Linked DNA regions of Caenorhabditis elegans. The protein of the gene in region 2 purifies or fractionates together with the protein of the main gene of each other region. This does not show direct contact. Each region holds a gene or a part of one and is shown on either strand. Other genes may lie near its edges. The genes, in order: sqst-1 and epg-7.

Region 1 (3,928 bases), on a different chromosome or scaffold from region 2:
TATCATAAAGTTTAAGCTTCCAGTCCGTAATAGATTGCTTTGAAGGGGTCCAGTTTGAGAAGTTGCAGGTGTTTTTCGTTTCGGAAAAAATCGAGATTTCCTGAAATGCGACTGTCATGAGTCAAATTTCAGAAAATTCCACGTTTCAATTTCGATGTTAGATTATAGAGACCTTTCTAGCTTCCCATTTCACAACAAACCCCTCTTCATCATCATGACGTCATACAGTCTCGTTCTCTTCTCCAAATATAAATGATCAGCTGTACAGTCACTAAATGCAGCATATCAGTACCTTATCAATTGATAGCATCACCACATGTTCATCTCGCCTCAAATTCAAAAAAAAAGCAACACTTCACTCCTAAAACAGTTCCATTTTCGGTCGATAAACCATCGATTCCCCGTTCACTCAGCTGTGCGTATTTTCTCGTCATTCGTCTCTTTCTCACAGCCTACACTATTCGCGAAGCCGTCTGCAATCTGCGTCTCACCTTGGGCCCTATGCAGAGGGACAATCAATCGGCCTAGAGGAGGCTGGTCATGTGTTTATGCATAGAAATATCGAGAAAGAATGCGAGACACAGAGATGAAGAGGCATCATTCGGCCTCATTTTGCCCATAGCAACACTTACACTCGTAGGCTCGGTAGTGGAATGTTCCAGATGAATACTCTTGCTTTGACACGATATTTAAGTAGGAAATTCCTTTTCTAAAATCTAAAACTAGCAATTTCTTGCGGTTGTGTAACCGAATCAAATATTCGAAAATTAGCAAAATTTCGCAATGAATATTCTCGTTTTTTGGCAAACCGTTTCTTTTTTGTCATTTTGACTATTACACAGTCTCCTCCAGTGGAAATCGGTCCGTTGGCGCACTTCTCGTGCATCGCGTGGAAAATTGAGAAATTACCAAAACTTTCAATTTACTGTTTTTCTTTATATTTTTCATAACATAAGCTTGGGTGGAAGATTACTTTTCAAATAAACATCAATTTCTACTAGAAAAATGATGATAAATATACAAAATATGAGAAAAACTCAATTTTTAGTTGTTTTTACTTTTTATATCAGCGCTTTTATTTTTGAACCAAAATCAAAAAACTTTTTTCTCCACCTTTCCCCGAATTAGCTTTACAATTGATACCTAATTTCAAAGTATGAAATCGATTTTAAACCCACAAAAACCGAAGGAAATCATTTTTCAGTGGTAAAATTTTGCAACGCTCACGAGAAACGCGCAAGCCCCCTTGTTGGGTCATTTCCACGTGAGGAGGCTGTGTATTATCCTTTCTGATTTTTTCCGTCAAAAATACGGTACCCGGTCTCAACACGCTTTTTTGTTGTAAAATACAAGCAAGTATGCGCCTTTAAAGAGTACTGTAATTTCAAACGTTTTTTGCTGCTTAATTGTTTTCCTTAACAATTTATTTGTTTATTTAAAGACTAAAAATTGAAATTTAAAAGCACAGAATTGTTTTAGAAAAAAGTTTTAGAATACAGTACCGGTTGGAATTTGAAAAAAATTGTCGTGTCGAGACCGGGTACCGTAGTTTTGGCGCAAAAATCACAACATTTCGCGTATGGATAATATTTAATTGCATTTTTACATAACTTTCTTGTAGGCCCAACAGTACCTACTTGCCTGCCTACAGGCAACTCTCTACTGCTACTAAATTTTTGACGCCTTCACGAAATTAGTCACTTATGATAATGAAAGTTTATATTTTAGTTCTAGAGAATCTGTTCAACTAGATCCTAACAAAAATAGTCTCCAAGAAATTTAGATGAATGATAATAAAAACTTGTTGGAAGTGATCTACTAGATCTAGATACCACCTTGAACTTTGAAGCCTTGAGTGTTTTTCTTTTCATATCTCCGTTCTTGCCCCCTTTGTTCATCTCGTAAACATCTTTAAAGGTTCCAAAAATAGTACATTTCCTTTTTGTTGTTGCATTATTCTCCAAAAAAATGAATTATGGTTTCAATTTCTTACACAATACAATCATTATGATGATTATTCGAAGTATAATATTTCGAAATTTCCTTTTTTCGATTTCGCAACTCTCGCAACTCAATAATGTCAATACTTGTTCTATTATCTTTCACTCTCTTTTCACTCACTTTCAAATAACTTCTCATTTTACTCAGATGGCTGCTGCATCATCCGCTCCTCACCAAATGCAAGTTCGTGTGACTTTCTATACAAGTCACAATCCGCAATCGGTTCTCATGATTTTGAAGAACGATCAGGCTCTTCAACAGATCTCCGAGAAGGCAAGAGAACTGTTCCCATCGGCTGATTATCGTCTCTACTACGGTAAGATATTATACTTTTGTTTTTGCCCCGTTTGCTAGACGAATCAATTGTGCAAATAGAGTATTTGTATGCCACACCTATGTTATGACAAAAAAGTACGGTGCCCGGTCTCGGCACGATTGAAATTTTTAATGGACGTTCCGAGGAAGAGTGTGCGCCTTTAAACAAACCATTTTTTTAAATTTAAAGTTTAACTAGATTTAAAAGGTCGTTATTTTTGTAAAACTCAATTTAATTAGATTATATTTAAGATTTCTAATTTCCCTAGATATCTCACAGTAACTTTTTTCCAAATCTTCAAATTTTCAGGTGATGTCAACGGACCAATCTTTGAGTTCACCAATTCGGATCAGATTATGTCTAAGATTCGAATCACTACATTCTCTCGAACTCCTCAACTTTTTGTTCGCCTGGAAACTGTTCCCCTTCGTCCAACAGCCCTACCATCAGTGAGCACTGAAACTGCCAAAAAAGCTTCCGATGCTGATCGTGAATCAAAGAGCAGATCCTCGCTGAAGCGTATCGAGAACAACCAGGAGCTCACATTGAAGACGCTGGAGAAGTTGCAAAAGGAGCTCTCAAGAGTTAGCGCTTTGGAGACGATGGTTGCTGATCTTCATGCAAAGGAAAGAGAACCTGTTGTCGAGGAAGTTCAGAAGCCATTCCCTCCAGTGAAGCACTCGGCGTCTTGTGATGCTTGCCTCGGTGACATCATCGGACATAGGTTCAAGTGTCTCGAATGTGCCGATTATGATTTGTGCGAGAAGTGTGAGAGAAAATCTTTACATTATGAGCATGCAATGATCAGAATTGTGGAGCCAAAGAAAACAATGATCCCATCATATGTGACATCAAACTCTCCGAACAATGTCTTCCCAACTTACATGCAGCACAAGATCCAACAACCACAAACTATCAAGGGGATCAACAAGACTGTTATCACGAGACTCGTTCCTTCACATCAAGTTAATCCAGCTCCAATGCCTCAAGCTCCACCAGTCTCCACTCCAGTTCCATTCCCTCCATCTCCAACCATCGGAAATGGAGCAGTTCCAAAACCAGCCCAGGAGCCTCGGATCCCACCATCTCCAACTTCTGCTCTACCACCACCACAATTCTTCAATGAGGAGACCCGTGCAGCCATTATTAATAGTGCAGCGTTGCTCAAGGAAACTTTCAGTACTTTGAGCAGAAGCTTCTTGGATTTGGCAGATGGTGCACAGGCCAATATGGATAAAAAGATCATTGAACGCTCGACCATGGAAGCAGGAATGACCAAATTCGAAGAGAAAATGGATAATTTGAAAAGACACTGTGAGGAGAAATATCTTGGAACGGAAACTGCTGAAGCTGAGAAGAGCGAGGAATCTTCGAAGAAGCAAGCAGATAGCTTGTCTGGACCAAAGATCAAGAAGGCTAAGAAGAAGTCCTGCTACAAGAAATCTGCCGAGAGACTATTCACAATGCAACTTGCTGCGGCGGCTGCTGAGCAAGCCCGTCTTGAACAAGAAGCCAAGAAAAGAGCTGAAGCCAGCTCTGCTGAATTACAGAGGAAACTTGCTGAGCTTAATGTGAAGGAATCTCAATCAAAATCCGAGGAAAACATTGCTG
Region 2 (3,928 bases):
AAAGTCGGCGGCGTACAATTTCCGAAACACTCTGTGAATAAAGAATCGGTGCATCTCGAATCTGACCAATAAGATCCATGTGAATGCGAACTGCATTGCTTTTGTATTCGTACTGTACAATGTCGTTGAGAACAACGCGTAATCGATCGTAGTTTTGAACCACAAATCCAGACATTCTCGTTCGCAAATTTTTTAGAATTTCCTGTTTTGACTGATCAAAAACGCGGACCATATTTCGAAATTCTGAAAAGTTTTCGAAAATAGTCAGCATGCATTGACGGTGTTCTTCGATAATTGGTGGTAGCTTATTCTGGTCATTGATTTTCGGAGTTTCCAAAATTTGAGCGACTAGTTTGTGAACCAAGTTTTTTCTTTCTAAAAATATATGTTGTTATTTTAAGTTATAGGCCTAGTTCTAGTTTTTACTTACCTTCACAGCTTTTCAAACTAAACTCAAGCTGAGAAAATCGTTTATTAATTCCCTTGAAATCTCGATACTCTTGATTCTTCGACGTTTCATGTACAGATTGGAGCCTCGTATATACACTAATAGCATTTTGCTCCTTGAGCTGTCGAATCTTCTCATTAACCAAGTCAGGTAAACCATCAAGAGATGCTTCTGGATCAGCCATCGCAATAAAATCAAACAATGTACATTTTTCGTCTGGATTGATTGGAGTTGATGTGGAAGTCATCAAAGACGCTGGTTTCACAAAAATTTCCGAAGGAACTTCGATCCTTCGTAATTGTTCAACAACGTCGGAATAGTTCAACAGGAGTGTGTCCGACTTTTCAATGAGTTCTTCGCTTTTTGAGTGTACCAATTTGAACTTCTTTCCCCTTTTGTCCATTTTGCTGACAGATATATCCAGATTGTTAATCAACGCCAACCAACCCTGAAACGATTACCATTGTAAATTTTGGTAACTGGAATATCGTGAAAGGTAAAGATTCTTTCAAATAAATATTGATAATTAAAATTCTTGTCGAAATCCTACCTTATGTAAAAACCTATGCTGTTGGACCAGCCTGGCACACATTTGCAAAGTCTCTGCGCAGACTTTTCTACAGTTTTTTGCTCGTTCTGGCAGCTCCATGTAGATTTTCAGAGGGTCCTGATTTTTCAGAACGTATTGTGCCTGGAATACAAGATTGCTTTCTTATAAATGTTTTGAAAACAACTAACCTGATCAACAGCATCGTCAATCATCTGAAAAATGTACGTCACATCACTGCCGTTGTGGTTTTCTCTTTCGTTTCCAGATTTTAGAAAAAAGTACACTGGAGATGTTTCAGTGCCAAGAGTACTGATCTCTGCCAAACTTTTGTTACCATCCGGGGTAGTACCGCTTTCATCAAGAAAAGTCTGCAAATCCGTTACACGTTTTGACTTCAATAAATGACAAAACACATACCAGATCAGAGATTCGATGACCAACCTCCTTGGATACCATATCCTGTAGTACATTGAATGTTGTAGTTTCTGCCTGTAAGTTTACTATTTCATGAGTTGATAGCCAGGTTTTTAAACTTACATTTAAATCAAATACCATGGCCTGGCCCCTATCCATGTAGAATATATGATACATTATCATTTTTGAATCTAAAAATTTGAAACCTTAACTTTAAAGTCGAAAATTAAATTGGTATAACGAGGAAATCGAGTAAAAACAAGCGGCTTTGGGAAATAATCTGGAACGAGATAAATGAGCGAGAGAGAGTACAGAAAAACAAGAGAGTCGATATGGCAAATGACTGTGTGATGTTGCGTCAAATGTGGTGTTGCGGCTGCAAATCACGTGACGTACAGAGGCAGAAACGAGGCCGACTTGTGAGCGGAGACCCTCCTCTGCGAGGCAGAAAACGCTCCCTTTGCCTCTTTGTCGTTCTCTCTAAATCTCTTGCATCACAACGCACTTTTGCGTTGGCAGTGAGCGTTGTTGCACACTCACACGCACATCACTGACACAGGCATAGCCACGGCCCTCATATTCATCCCGTGAGTTGGGCAGAGATCGATGTTGAAATCAAGACGAGAATGATTTTGTTAGTGTAAAAAGGTATTTAGAGTGACCAGGTGTGTTTTGATTATCTTGATTTTTTTATTTCAAAATGCTATCAGTAGAACAATTTGAGACGCCACACTTCATAACTGACTGAAAGTAAAATTTTGAATTTTATGGCGAAGTACAAAGTTAGTGCATTGACATTTGTAGGTGGGTTGATCTCATCAATTCAACTACTGTTGAGATCGATTTCAAGGTTTCATGACTGAATAACTGACATTTTTCAACATGCTACAACATAGTTGGAGAAACAAATGCAGAACTCTAAAAAAAAGTATTCCTTTAGAAAAATTGGGTCTGACCACTGCAGATGGCCAAAAAGAATTAGTAGTTAATCTTTTACGATGAGAGCCGATTGGAGAACGGGGACCACCTGGCCGGATAGTGTTAGGTTTGAATATGGAGTATGGCCACTGGAGAACTGATTAAAAACCTGCCTATTGGAAAAGGAAAATATTAAATATTAAATAAAACGTTTCAAAACATTTTAGAATTTTTCACGTTTGTGTCAAAGTTGTAAAATCTTAGTTCGTGCCATTTTTCGCCAAAACTGTGGTATGTTTGAACTCCACCAATGTTGGAATATAAACATTTTCAACATAATTAAAGCATTATTTTCTTGAAAACCTACTTCTAAAAAATTGTTGAGAACTGAGTTTTCACCGTTTTTTACTAGAAACGAAAACATTTCCAATTTTTTTGAAACAGTTTATTACGATATTTGGTCCTTTCAGCACCATATGAATGCATGAAAGCTTGAGCTGCGTATTCGTGTTTCGCCCTTCAATTTTTAAAAACTAGAGTTTGTTTCTACACTAAGAATGAACACAGGCGCGACTCCACTCTTAAGACGAAATCAGCCCGATTTATAGAAATTTTTAAACAAAAAATGCTTTGAAAAGTTACATTTTTACAGTATGCTATTATCTTTGAAAAACAATAACTGAAATACAACTGACAAAATGTGAAACACTATTCAAGTACATAAGCGAAAACAGTTTACTTTTCTTAAAAACCACATGATTTCTGTCACCGACTTCGCAAACAATAATGATCATACTGAACTGTTTTACATGTACATACATTTTAAATAACTTATGATGTTGAGAAATAAAAACGATGAGTTATTAAACATTGATGGAGGCTCACCACAGGTTCAGCACAGAAATGCAAACGTCAAAATTAAGAATAGAGTCATCTAACTGTATGCGACAAAAACAGAAACAAACTAGTACAGGCGCCGACCGTCTCACATACACACATACATACATACTTAGAAAAACACTGGGAAGAACATTTCAAGTATCTTATCTGACCTCGGTCTTACGGTCCAGTAAATATTTTTGTTTTTTTTTCTCGTCTTTCAATGTTTGCTCTTTTGTTCAGATGGGTAGAAAGATACAGGTAATAATTGCGTTCGGGAACACAGAAAAATCACTGGGAAAATGATAAGAGAGATATATATATGATTATCAATAATCATTATTTTTGTATTATATTCAGTTCCGGGTGAGAATGGGAGTTAAGAGTTAAAAGTGAAAACTGTATGGTCTCGGAAAAAACGAAAAATAAGACTTGGCGCTTGAATCATATTGATGTCAGTGGGTAGAACGTTTAAAATTACTTTTTTCATTATAAAAAATACCAATTATTGTAATAAAATTTCAAAGTAGTTTTAAAAATAATGTTTTATTTCCTGTCAAAAAGTGTAACTTACTCAATTTTCATCAAAACATTGAGATTCGTTTCAAATTTCACCGGACATTGTATGATAATTCAATATAAATATATTTTTATTTAAATTGTACAGCTTCGAACATGGAAGAATGCTCTAAACGTTTCAAAAAGTTTTTTTCGAAAGC

What was found.
Region 1: the proteins of epg-7 (region 2) and sqst-1 purify together in Caenorhabditis elegans (affinity purification with western blotting, with the first as the bait; one study listed by BioGRID). This does not show direct contact.

The regions. Positions count from the first base shown.
Region 1 is NC_003282.8:12,032,134-12,036,061, forward strand, and holds the start of sqst-1 (ZZ-type domain-containing protein), read left to right. Parts: upstream 1-2,148; coding exon 2,149-2,317; intron 2,318-2,626; coding exon 2,627-3,928.
Region 2 is NC_003284.9:7,332,446-7,336,373, reverse strand, and holds the start of epg-7 (Autophagy-related protein 11 C-terminal domain-containing protein), read right to left. Parts: upstream 1,661-3,928; 5' UTR 1,596-1,660; coding exon 1,536-1,595; intron 1,488-1,535; coding exon 1,416-1,487; intron 1,367-1,415; coding exon 1,187-1,366; intron 1,140-1,186; coding exon 999-1,139; intron 897-998; coding exon 431-896; intron 376-430; coding exon 1-375.